Linked DNA regions of Callithrix jacchus. The protein of the gene in region 1 purifies or fractionates together with the protein of each later gene. This does not show direct contact. Links are inferred from orthologs where the notes say so. Each region holds a gene or a part of one and is shown in the gene's direction. Other genes may lie near its edges. The genes, in order: ANKRD46, MGRN1 and ATRN.

Region 1 (4,138 bases):
TGGGATTACAAATGTGAGCCACCTTGCCTGGCCAGATTTTATAATTCTTACATGAAATAAATTTAATAGTGATTTCCTCCAATATGACAATAGTCCTAAACCTTTACACGACATTTTCAAGAACAAACTATTAGACAGTAGATGGTTTTTGAATGAATGGATTATGAGACACCCTAAAGCAGGGGTATCCAATCTTTTGGCTTCCCTGGGCCACACTGGAAGAATTTTATGTATACTACTAACATCAACAATTGTTGATATTAGTATATTTTATGTGTGGCCCAGGTTTGTTTTTTTTTTTTTTTTTTTTTCAAAAAATAAAAATAAAACCTGCAAAATCTCATAATGTTTTAAGAAAGTTTATGAGTTTGTGTTGGGCTGCATTTTAAACTATCTTGGCTGCATGCAGCCTGCAGGTGTGGGCCGTGGGTTGGACAAGCTTGCTGTAGAGCCTGGCTTGGTTGGATGAGGGTGCTATAATTCAGAGGATGGTCAGTGTGCAGGGGGAGTTGTCTTGGCTGTAGGATTGGAGTTGGTAAACTGAAGAAAAAGAAACTAGTTTTGCATGAAAGAATGTTTTCAGTACATGAATGTCCCAGATGTCCCAGCACTCTTTTAGTCTTGGCTGCACGTGTTGCAATAAGTCAAGGAACCCTACAAAGTAGGATGGAAAGATTGAAAGTGTGAATGACTTGAACCCGGGAGGTGGGGATTGCAGTGAGCTGAGATTTCGCCACTGCACTCCAGCCTGGGCGACAGAGCAAGACTCCGTCTCAAATAAAAAAAAAAAAATTCAAACTGCTTTTGAAAAAAACCAAAAATGCAGGATTATATTTTAGAATTAGAGCAGCCAGCCATTAGTGGCTATTCCTAATACGTCCATCTGGGGTCTACAGAAGCTCTACCTAGCGGCAAGCAACTATTAATTCACGTTTATAGCACCTAATAAAATTCCCTTTGCCTTTGAAGTCCCCATTTAGCTAAGGGGATGAGATGTGAATTTAGAACAGGACGAGAAAAGTGCAAAATGCTCCCGGACTCAGATCAGATAAACCTCTTCTAGGATGGCTTCCTCTTGGGAAGCCACAAGTTTTGATGCTTTCCCGAATTCAGAGCAGGCACTCCCAGAATCTCTGACTCAGCAGGCCAAGCCACCGTGCGGACCGCCCATCTGCAGGGGGCGCTCCGGGGCCGCGGCGCCAGGCCGCTCTGGCCCAGCGGGGACTCTGCCTGCCCCTGGCCGGCCCCTCCCCTCCCTCCGCCCGTCACCGCCGCGGAGCAGCTGCCGCAGTCTCTGCTGCTCGTTCGAGTCGCAGGTACCTGACCTCGGGCCCGTGGGCAGCGCCAGGGCGAGAGCCACTCGATACCTCCCGCAACGTCCCTGTAGGACCGGAGATCCAGTCGGCCTGGCCGAGGGTCCTGAGGGGAGAGGGTGCCCGGGCTCCCGGCACCTCCGCGGCCAGCGGAGGGAGGCGGGCCCAGGAAGCGAGCGCGGATTGGTGAGCGCGTCTCTGCGGTCTGTGTGCTCCTGAGGCCGGGAGAGGCCCGCGAGGCTGCTCGTTTGCGCATGCGGGGTGTGGCTGTGGTCCTGGGAGCCCCGGGGTGGCGCTGGCTCGCGGTTAATCCGGCGGTGGGTGAGTGCGGAAGCCCCGCCGCGGGTCCAGCTGCCCGGCCGGGGCGAGACGGTGCCCTCGCGGCGTGGGCTTGGAGGAGCGCAGCGTCCAGGGCGCCGGGACAAGCTGTTGGGGTGGGACTGAGCTGTCCCGGGTGCCAGTGTTAGAAGGCGGCATTTGCACACCTTCCGCTTAGGGCTCAGCTCATCGGAAACGTCCTCTCTTATTTGACGTGCAGTGCTAAGAAGCAGATCGTTCTCTCTCAGGTTTTCCTAAAGCTCAAGAGAAAAGCATTTGTTTTTTTAAAACGTTCCACGGTATTCGGGGTTGGCGACAGAACATCGTAAAGTAAAAATATGCCATTGAATAGTAACACTTCTCACCCTTTAAAAAATGACAGTGGTACCTAGGAGGTTCTTAAAGAGCTGTAATATGAGTGGTGTGGGGATTATTTTTATGTTCTAGTAATAGCTGTTTTCTTTTCGTTCTCTTTTTTTTTTTTTTTAAACATACGGTGTCTCGCTCTGTCGCCAGGCTGGAGTGCAATGGCGCCATCTCGGCTCACTGCACCCTCTGCCTCCTGGGTTCAAGCGATTCTTCTGCCTCAGCCTCCCGAGCAGCTGGGACCACAGGCGCCCACCATGCCCAGTTAAAATTTGTATTTTTAGTAGAGACGGGGGTTTCACCATGTTGGCCAGGATGGTCTCGATCTCTTGACCTCATGATCCGCCCGCCTCAGCCTCCCAAACTGCGGGGATTACAGGTGTGAGCCACCGCACCCGGCCAGTAATAGCTGTTTTCAGTGGTTATTTTATGTCAGACGTGATGCCATTGCTTTTAATACCTGGCACCTTTATTTAATCCTTGGAGCAACCCTATCAGATGCCATTTCCATTATACAGATAAGGAAACTGAGCCGCCGAGGGTCTGACTTGTCCAAGGTCAGACAGCTAGCAAAGGGTGAGCGAGATTTCGCCTCCTCTCCCTTACTTCAGTATCCCAGCTTCTGTTATCTAGCCAAACGTGTAGTGCTAAGAGTTTTGTTTATCAATTAGACGTGTAGCCAAAACTGATTTTCCTCTGGCTTAGTTTTCATGGCCATATGCAGAAGTCCTATATGAAACTAATTTAAAAGGAGTTTCATAAGAAAAATGTTAGCGCATTAAGGACTATGGTGATAATAAAGTTAGACTTGGACTGGGGTTCTCAATATGCCAGTATGATTTTGATTTGAATAGAGATGGATTTATTTGATTGTGAACACACTTAATTACTTTTCTTCATTATTTATGTTTCCATACATTTTTAGTGAGTTCACTTTGCCTTTGCAATATTATGATAGCAGGACCAGAGGGAAATCAAAGATTTTTCGATGATAGCAAGTTAATATTTTACAGAATATAGGAAAGGCATTGGAGGCTGTGAAGCGATGAGGAATTTTTGGCATGTTATTTAGAGCAAATTGTGTTACTTTGGAAAATAAAGGTTTCTCACAGTTCTTTGTCAAAAGGGGAAATTGTATTTCCCGTTGTGGAAAGAAGTTGGGTTTTGTAGTCCCAGACTTCTTAACCTTGTCTATTATAGATTTAAGAATTTGCATATTCAGCATTCACATAGCAGGCGTATGTTTAGTGCCTTCCATGGCCAGGCTCTGTTGTGAGCACTGGGGTTACGAGAGTAGACAAAATGAAGTCCTTGTCTTCCAGGAGCTAAAGTGTCACTGGAAGAAGGTGGGGGTGGGAATAATAAGCGACATTTGTGAAAGTTAACCTATCTCCAGTCAGATGGTAACAGTTGCTAAGAAGAAAAATAAAGTAACAAAGGGGGATAGGAAGCACCAAGAAAGGGACAGGTGCAGTCTGGTGCCATGGAAAAGACTCGAGCAAAACTGAAGGCGTCAGAGACTGCCATGCAGCTGTCTAGGGAAAGAGCACACCAAGCAAGGGCAAAAACCCAGAATCCGTGAGTCTTGTTGGAGGAACAGCAAAGGGGCCAGTGGCTTTGAGCACCTGGAGGGAAGGAGGATGAGACAAGGTCAGAGAGCTAATGGGCCCAGGTAAGGACTTTCGCTTTGACTCTGAGTGAGAAGGGAGGTGGTTGGAGGGTTTTGAGCAGAGGAGTGAGGGGATCTGGATTCAGGTTTTCAAAAGATCACTTCAGTTGCTGTGTTCAGAGTGACTGTAAGGGCAAGGATGGAAACAAGGAGACCTGTTAGGTTGATGCAGTAGTTGAAGCCAGAGAGAATGGTGGCTTAGACCAGGTGGGTAGTAAGAGAGGCAGTAAGAAGCCTTCGTATTTTGAGTACTGCTGATAGGATTTGTTGATGGTTTGGATGTGCTTGTGAGAGAAAGGCTGTTGGAAGGCTTTTGTTACAGTGTACCGAGATGGAGAAGACTGAATGTGAAGGTGGGTGGAGCCATTTTAGTCAGGTTTGAGATGCCTCTTCAAGTGGGGTTATAGAGACTGGAGTTGAGGAGAAAGGTCCAGCTGGAAAGAGAAATTTGGGAGTCACTAATGCAAGCTTG
Region 2 (3,646 bases), on another chromosome or scaffold:
CCCAGGATTTCAAAGTAGTGTGGGAAACATAGTGAGACCCCTCTACAAAAGTTTAAAAACTGGCTTGAGCTTGGTGGCTTACACCTGTGGTCCCAGCTCCTAAGAGGGCTGAGGTGGGAGGATTGCCTGAGCTGGGGAGGTCCAGGCCCACTCCAGCCTGAGTCCTTGTCTCAAAAACAGAAAATATACACATGCAAACACACACGTACACACACACACACACACACACACACACACGCACAGGAGAGAGAGAGAGAGGACAGCTCCAGGAGTACCACCAAAAAGTAGGCAGGCAGACTGGGGACCCTCTGCCTTCCCGAAGGGTCTGGGCGCACATGCCGCCTGCAGCTCTGGTCTGCTGAGGGGGCTGCTGGTGTTCTCTGAGGCCGGGGCTCCCACACAGGACCACAGCCATCGTCGGGCAAGGCCCATGTGGCCCGCTGGGAAGTGCCCAGCCGGGGTCCAGGCTCCCAGAGGCCCTTTCCCCTGGGCGGACTTGAGCTGGGCCCAGGAGCTTTGCTTGTTTTGACTGCACTCTGCGTTCTCACGCATCTGTCGTCTTGAGCCCAGTGCGTCCCTCTGTGGACCCCTCTCCTGACCTGTCATACCCCTTGACTGAAACGCCACCTGCACCTTTTAGAGGGCCCCGGCCTGCGTGTCGGGGGATGGTGCCGTTCGAATGTTACGGCTCAGGTCAAGCTTCCAGAGGTGGGGAGCGCAGGTGTGGTCTGGAACAGGCTCACAGCCTCTGAGCTCTGGTATTGCTGCAGGCCGAAGCCCCTGAGGAAGATAGCCATCCTTCACCTGAGAGCGGGGCCGGGCCCTGTCTGCTGGGAGCCATGGGTCAGGGCTGGTGGCTGGATGTTGGGCAGCCCTGAGGCCGTGCTGGCCCCGTCCCAGGCTCAGCACCAGCACTGTTACCCAAGCCCCGGGGAAGCCAGACCCATCTGGGGACAGCACCTGGCAGCGGTGTAGAAGCCATAGTCCAAGCGTCGGGGCTCTGTGGGAGGCTCCTCTCTGCCTCACAGAAGCCACCATGGGGCCACTCTGAGCTTGGGATCGTTCTCGCTCGGGGCTGCTCCCTGCCCCTCCACCCCAGGGTGACTGAGTTCTAGCCTAACCTAGCCATAAGGACCTTAGCAGGACAGTGGGTGGTCACATCCCAGGAAACTGGGACCAGGGGGAGGGCAGGAGACCCAGAGGACAGAAGCCACAGCGCCACGTCGTGTTCTGACTCGGGGCTGCAGCTCTGCTGCCAGTGTCTGGGGGTGCAGGGTGATGTGCCCGGTGTCCTGGGATGAGGGGTGATCTGCCTGAGAGGGACACACCGTGCTTGGCAGGGCTGGAGAGGCCCCATCTGTTCTGGCCACAGACAGGTGGCGGGAGTGGGGGTGCGGGGTGGCCCACCCCTGTGTGGCTCCAGGTTGGTAGGAGTGGGTGGCACCAAGCAGCTGAGTGTGACCCACCTCCCTCCCCCTCTGCTCCTGCCTGCAGGATGGCCCACCTCCATGGAAATGGCCCACAGCCTTGGCACCACCAGCCCCACCTGGCCTCCTCTTGGTGGCCCCAGCCCTGATCCCAGCACCGCCGAGCTGACCTCACTCTGAGAGCCTGGCCAAGCTGGCAGCATGGAGCCCTCAGCTCCCTAGACTTTGCCAAGGGGCTGCCCCAGACCCCGGTGTGACTCGGCCTCTCCTGTCTGCATGCCCCCTGTGGCCACCAGGCTCCAAGGGGCTGTGGTGACCCCTGATGAAAGAGCACAGTGGACTGTCCCCCAAGTCCCCCTTTTCTATGGTTGATATATTTGTAACTGGTACAAGATGAAGGACAGCAGCTTTCCATCCCAAGTTCAGCGCCTGGGTTCCCCAGGGTCTGGTGGGCCGAGCATCTGGGGCTGGGGCTGCCCACATGTGGCTTTTGCTGGCTGCACCGGGTCCCTCAGCAGTGCAGTTGCTGCCCAGAGAACTCAGCAGACCTGCACAAGAGAATTTATTGGTGGGTGAAGCACTATCTTCACAGATGTTCGGGGGCAGTGGGGGCTCGAGGCACGGTCAGTGAAGGAAACGGTGCCTGTCCGCCCAGCCCACCGGTGTTACCACGGCAGCCTGGCTGTTGCTGCCTTCTGTCCTCTGCCGTGTTTGTGCAGCCTCCATGCCCTCCCTGGTGTGTCTCTGCTGGCGCCTTCAGTGCTCAGAGCTTTGGGGTGCACTGCTGTCGCTCTGGGCAGCTGAAGCATCTCAGCCTAGCACTGGACCTGACTGAGGGGCCAAGGCACAGCCGCTTCCAGCAGCCATCATCCAGCAGCCTTGTTACCAAGCCCTGCACCTTCTCACCGTGCTGGCTTTGGTGACCTCACCAGGCCCCTCCAGTTGCAGGGCCATCCGTTCAGCAGGGCCCTGTCAAGAAGGACCATTCCCTTTTGTCATTGGAATGTCCCCTGCGGTTCTCTTTTTTTTGAGATGGAGTTTCACTCTTGTTGCCCAGGCTGGAGTACAGTGGCATGGTTTCGCTCACTGTAACCTCCACCTCCCAGGTTCAAGTGGTTGTCCTGCCTCAGCCTCCCGAGTAGCTGGGATTATAGGTGCATGCCACCAACCCTGGCTAATTTTTTTGTATTTTTAGTAGAGACAGGGTTTCACCATGTCGGTCTGGCTGGTCCCGAACTCCTGACCTCAGGTGATCCACCCACCTCGCAAAGTGCTGGGATTACAGGCATGATCCGCTGCGCCCGGCCCCCTTGTGGTTCTCTTTGATTTGATGTGTCAGGCTCCCTCGGTGAGACCCACCCGGGGAGGAGGGAGCCAGCAGCCCACCTGGTAAGTGAGGTCACAGCCTGGAGGCTTGGCCTCTGGGCGACGTTGTCCTGTTTTTATTAAGGTAAACATCCTGGGCAGCAGACAGGTGAAGGGGGTATCTGGCCTTGGTGACCCAGGACTTGAGCCACCCCAGCAGGGCCCTGGGCCGGGAAGGTATGTGTGGGTCTTCTGGCCCGGGGGCGGGGAGGTTGCCCTGCAGCTGGGCTTGGGGATCAGATGGCTGTGGGGCAGCTCACAGCCCTCCCTGAGGTTCAGGGTGGCCTTGAGTACAAGCTCTGCTTCCTGGGCGCTCAGGGGGGACCCAGCAGTGGTCCCTGCACCCAGCTCCCTGCACACCCAGGCCAGTCCCCTCCTGCCCTTGTGCACATGCTCTCACATTCACACACATGCTTATGCACAGTCACTTGCACATGCTCATACACACATGCTCCCACGTTCACGCACACATGCTCAGGCATATTTGCACACACTCATACGCATACACACATGCTCCCACACACGTGCACGCATACACATACCCATACGCATATGCTCCCACGTGTGTGTGCACTTGGCCCAGGCATCTCCCCAACGCACCTCCCCCCACACACCTCCCCCCAACCCCACCTCTCCTCCCGCTCTGCCAAGGCCCCAGCCTGTGGCCGTCGGTCCTGGTGCCAGGGCTCTCCGTGAAGTTCAGGCTGCAGAATGGCCCGCTGGGACTCCTATGTGCTGCCATTTGATGTGCTCAGATGGGCCCATTTGTTTTTACTGTATATTTATAGTAATAAAATCACGCAGCAATATACTGTCTGTTCCTTCCTCTGGGCACAGCCCTCAGGACAGTGGCT
Region 3 (3,646 bases), on another chromosome or scaffold:
CTGTCTCTTAAAAAAACAAAAAAGTATAGCTTGCAATTGTTATCTAAGTCTCTGGTAAATTTCTTCTCTCCCTTTTTCCTCTTAGCACCATGTTTGTGTTTGGTGGTTTCAATAGTCTCCTCCTCAGTGACATCCTGGTATTCACCTTGGAACAGTGTGATGCACACCGGAGTGAAGCCGCTTGTTTAGCAGCAGGACCTGGTATCCGGTGTGTGTGGGACACAGGGTCGTCTCAGTGTATCTCATGGGAGCTGGCAACTGATGAACAAGAGGAAAAGTTAAAATCAGAATGTTTTAACAAAAGAAGTATGTTTTTTTCCTCTATTTAGATTTTAATTAATTTGAGACCTCATTTTATCTGAATTATGAAGGAACTTAGCATTTGTACACTTTTTGTGTTCTCCTTATTATCCAAAATTATTCAGTGATAACTTGTACAAAGCATTGCTGGATATTTGAAAATTGGTTTGTAAACATCTCGGATGGGAACATGCCATATGGCTCCTAGAAGGTCTGTGAATGATGAAGACATAACCTTCTTGGCATTGCATAGGCTTTGCCTACTGACTCCAGATCCTGGCTGCAGTTGCTCTGAGGCAGTGCCATCTGGCAGAACTTTGTTTTTGATGATGGAAATGTTCTGTGTCTGGACTATCCCAATATTGTAGCCGCTATCCACATGGGGTATCAAATACTCGAAATGTAGCTAGTGTGACTGAATAACTGAATTTTTAATTTAATTTTAATTTAAAAAACATTTGTGACTACTGGCTACTATCTTGGATACAGATCTATCATTAAGGATGAAATCAGGAGAGTCAGCCCAGAAAAGCCATGTTGAAGTAAATTGTTTTGGTAGAGAGAAGGAGAGCTGCTGTCCTTGCAGAGTATTTTTGTCTAGCTTCTCTAGTTGGATACATATCAAGACAGACAGTTACTGAGGATGGGCAGTGATCTCTCTTCTAGAACCTCCCCTCATGGTTTCCAAGCTGGTTTCTTCCTTCTGCCTGCTTTGTTTCCTGTCCTATATTGCTGACACATAGAGAACAATACAATACAGTGAAGTGATGTATAAAAAAGTTCTATTTTATTTTATTTTGAGACAGAATCTCACTCTGTCGCTCAGGCTGGAGTACAGCAGTACAATCTCAGCTCACTACAACCTCTGCCTCCCAGATTCAAGTGATTCTCATGCCTCAGCCTGTAATCCCTGAATAGCTGAGATTACAGTCACCTGCCACCAAACCCAGCTAATTTTTGTATTTTTAATAGAGACGGGAGTTTCACCATGTTGGCCAGGCTGGTCTTGAACTCATGACCTCAGGTGATCCGCCCACCTCGGCCTCCCAAAGTGTTGAGATTACAGGTGTGAGCTATTGTGCATGGCCAGAAAATTCTTTAAAAGTAAGAATGTTTTCTCTGTAAGATATTTATTTACACCAATTAATTTAAAATATGTTGGCTGAATTTCTTATTAGTAGAATTGGTGTTGCAGTTAACTTGAGAGTTATGATGCGTAGAAGCAGCTTTCATTCCTGTGCCCAAATTAGCCTTGCATTTATAACTAGGTCTCCTACAATATTTTGGCTCCTGGGCGGTTTTGATGTTCATTATATTACTAGTTGATTTTTTTTTTTTTTTTTTGGAACGAAAAGTATTCAAAGAACCAGAATTTACTTTTATTATATCTTATAGTTGTTAAATCAACCTATTCTTGTTTTTACTTTCTGTGTACTTCTTTTTTTTTGGGTCAAAACTATTTCTTTAGATCGTCTATTTCTAAATATTATTTTTAACCAGAACATACCAAATATATTTTTCTGCTAATTTCACTCTTCATTTTACTTCTTAATGATTGTTACAATTTTTTTTAACTTCCAGTCTCTGGTTGTGCTCAACTGAAGCTGTCCACGTTGATGAGGTTTTCTTTTCTTTATAGCTCTTGACCATGACAGATGTGACCAGCACACAGATTGTTACAGCTGCACAGCCAACACCAATGACTGCCACTGGTGCAATGACCATTGTGTCCCAAGGAACCACAGCTGCACAGAAGGCCAGGTCAGAGACTGTTTCTTAAAGATTTCAGAGAAATCCTAATGTGTCATAGGTTCAGCTTTTATAGTGTATGTGATATAAATAATGGCTCAGAGTTATTTTTCAAACAGGTTTAGATTTGGATTTTATTATCCCTGAGTTTTTCCTTTAGGAAGAGATGCTCTATACATCTTAATTCCAAGGGTCCTACTAGCCCTGGGGATTTGTGTGTTTTAGAAGAAGGTAAGACTGTTGTCCCTGGGCATGGCCGTGATTAAGTACTGGATCCTTGATTCGAGGCATCTAATAGTGACCTCACTTTATCAGTGCTAGGTTTTGGTAGCAAGTGTGGGCTTGAGACTGAGAGTGAGTCAGAGATATAGCGGCCCATATTGAACTGTGGAAATGACAGACTGCAGAATCTCCTTGTCATATCTTGGTTTGGCATAACTTCACTGCCTATCCTATATAGATTTTTTAATTGAAGTTATAAGATGACCCAGGCTTTTATAGTTTTTGACAGCTTTCAAGACTTTTTCTGTCAATCTCCTGCAGTTCTTAAAATAGAAAACTTTCAGACTTTTGAAGGGAGCATTTGAAAATAGCAAGTTCAACATTCCCATTTTACAGATGACCAGGTTGAGGTATGGTATTTAAAAGAGTGAGCTGCGTCCTTGCCAGTTAAAAACATGTCCTTGAGCAGAACATTCCATTGCACTATTCCTACTGCAGAGCTGCTGCATCTTATTTGCTTACTTATTTATTTATCTATCTCTCTATTTATTTGCGGTTTGCTTCCTCAATTAGATTTTGTTGTCTATAGTATCCTGTTGGTCCTCACTGTAAGTTCTCTCCGTGGATACAAGAGAAAAGCTTTTGTCCACTGTGTTTTAGATCTCCATTTCCAGGTATGAGAATTGCCCCAAGGATAACCCCATGTACTACTGTAACAAGAAGACCAGCTGCAGGAGCTGTGCCCTGGACCAGAACTGCCAGTGGGAGCCCCGGAATCAGGAGTGCATTGCCCTGCCTGGTAGGCCTTGCAGGGTCATCTTGGTGTGTGTGGGTCCAAGACTTCACCCCACTTCCCCCAACACTATGCAGCCTAGGTTGAACCTAGCAAAGGGGAAAAGCTAGTTCTGTGCATTCATCCCCCACACCAGTACGATGAGGTTTTTTGTTTTTAACTAAAATGCACTTCTTAAGTATTTGCTCCTATTGTCCTTTGAAATAAAGTGAAACATCCTTCACTGCTCTGGAGAATTGAGTGACAGCTTGGTTTTGTATCACTGAGCTGGCTCCTTTCCTCTTCCTCATCCACCTTTGATAACCTGGGACTAGAACACAATGTCTCAGCAGCCAGTCTGCTGAGCACTTTATGGAGAGTACTTCTTATTAACCACTTGGATTTGGTTGTTGGCACCTGCTCATGGGCCTCCTCTCAGAAGGACAGAATAGATACTTCCATCAGCAGCACCTTCTTGGGGTATCTCCAGCCCTGAAAACCTCAACACATGCTACTTCTGAGGTTCAGGATAATGAGTTCAGGGCCTGAGACCAGCCAGCCGTGACCAAACCACTGTGATATATTTGTTCAACCGGGATGATC

Evidence for each region.
Region 2: the proteins of ANKRD46 (region 1) and MGRN1 purify together in Homo sapiens (co-immunoprecipitation; 3 studies listed by BioGRID and IntAct, counting the BioPlex papers as one, with this or other methods). This does not show direct contact. The link is inferred for Callithrix jacchus from reciprocal best matches to the Homo sapiens genes ANKRD46 and MGRN1.
Region 3: the proteins of ANKRD46 (region 1) and ATRN purify together in Homo sapiens (co-immunoprecipitation; 3 studies listed by BioGRID and IntAct, with this or other methods). This does not show direct contact. The link is inferred for Callithrix jacchus from reciprocal best matches to the Homo sapiens genes ANKRD46 and ATRN.

Annotation. Positions count from the first base shown.
Region 1 is NC_133517.1:96,398,157-96,402,294, forward strand, and holds the start of ANKRD46 (ankyrin repeat domain-containing protein 46), read left to right. Parts: upstream 1-1,289; 5' UTR 1,290-1,316; exon of another isoform or gene 1,317-1,499; intron 1,500-1,565; exon of another isoform or gene 1,566-2,573; intron 2,574-4,138.
Region 2 is NC_133513.1:6,809,941-6,813,586, forward strand, and holds the end of MGRN1 (E3 ubiquitin-protein ligase MGRN1), read left to right. Parts: intron 1-1,494; coding exon 1,495-1,607; 3' UTR 1,608-3,599; downstream 3,600-3,646. UniProt on the Homo sapiens protein: E3 ubiquitin-protein ligase. Mediates monoubiquitination at multiple sites of TSG101 in the presence of UBE2D1, but not of UBE2G1, nor UBE2H. Plays a role in the regulation of endosome-to-lysosome trafficking.
Region 3 is NC_133506.1:11,065,292-11,068,937, forward strand, and holds part of ATRN (attractin), read left to right. Parts: intron 1-85; coding exon 86-306; intron 307-1,939; coding exon 1,940-2,061; intron 2,062-2,931; coding exon 2,932-3,070; intron 3,071-3,646. UniProt on the Homo sapiens protein: Involved in the initial immune cell clustering during inflammatory response and may regulate chemotactic activity of chemokines. May play a role in melanocortin signaling pathways that regulate energy homeostasis and hair color.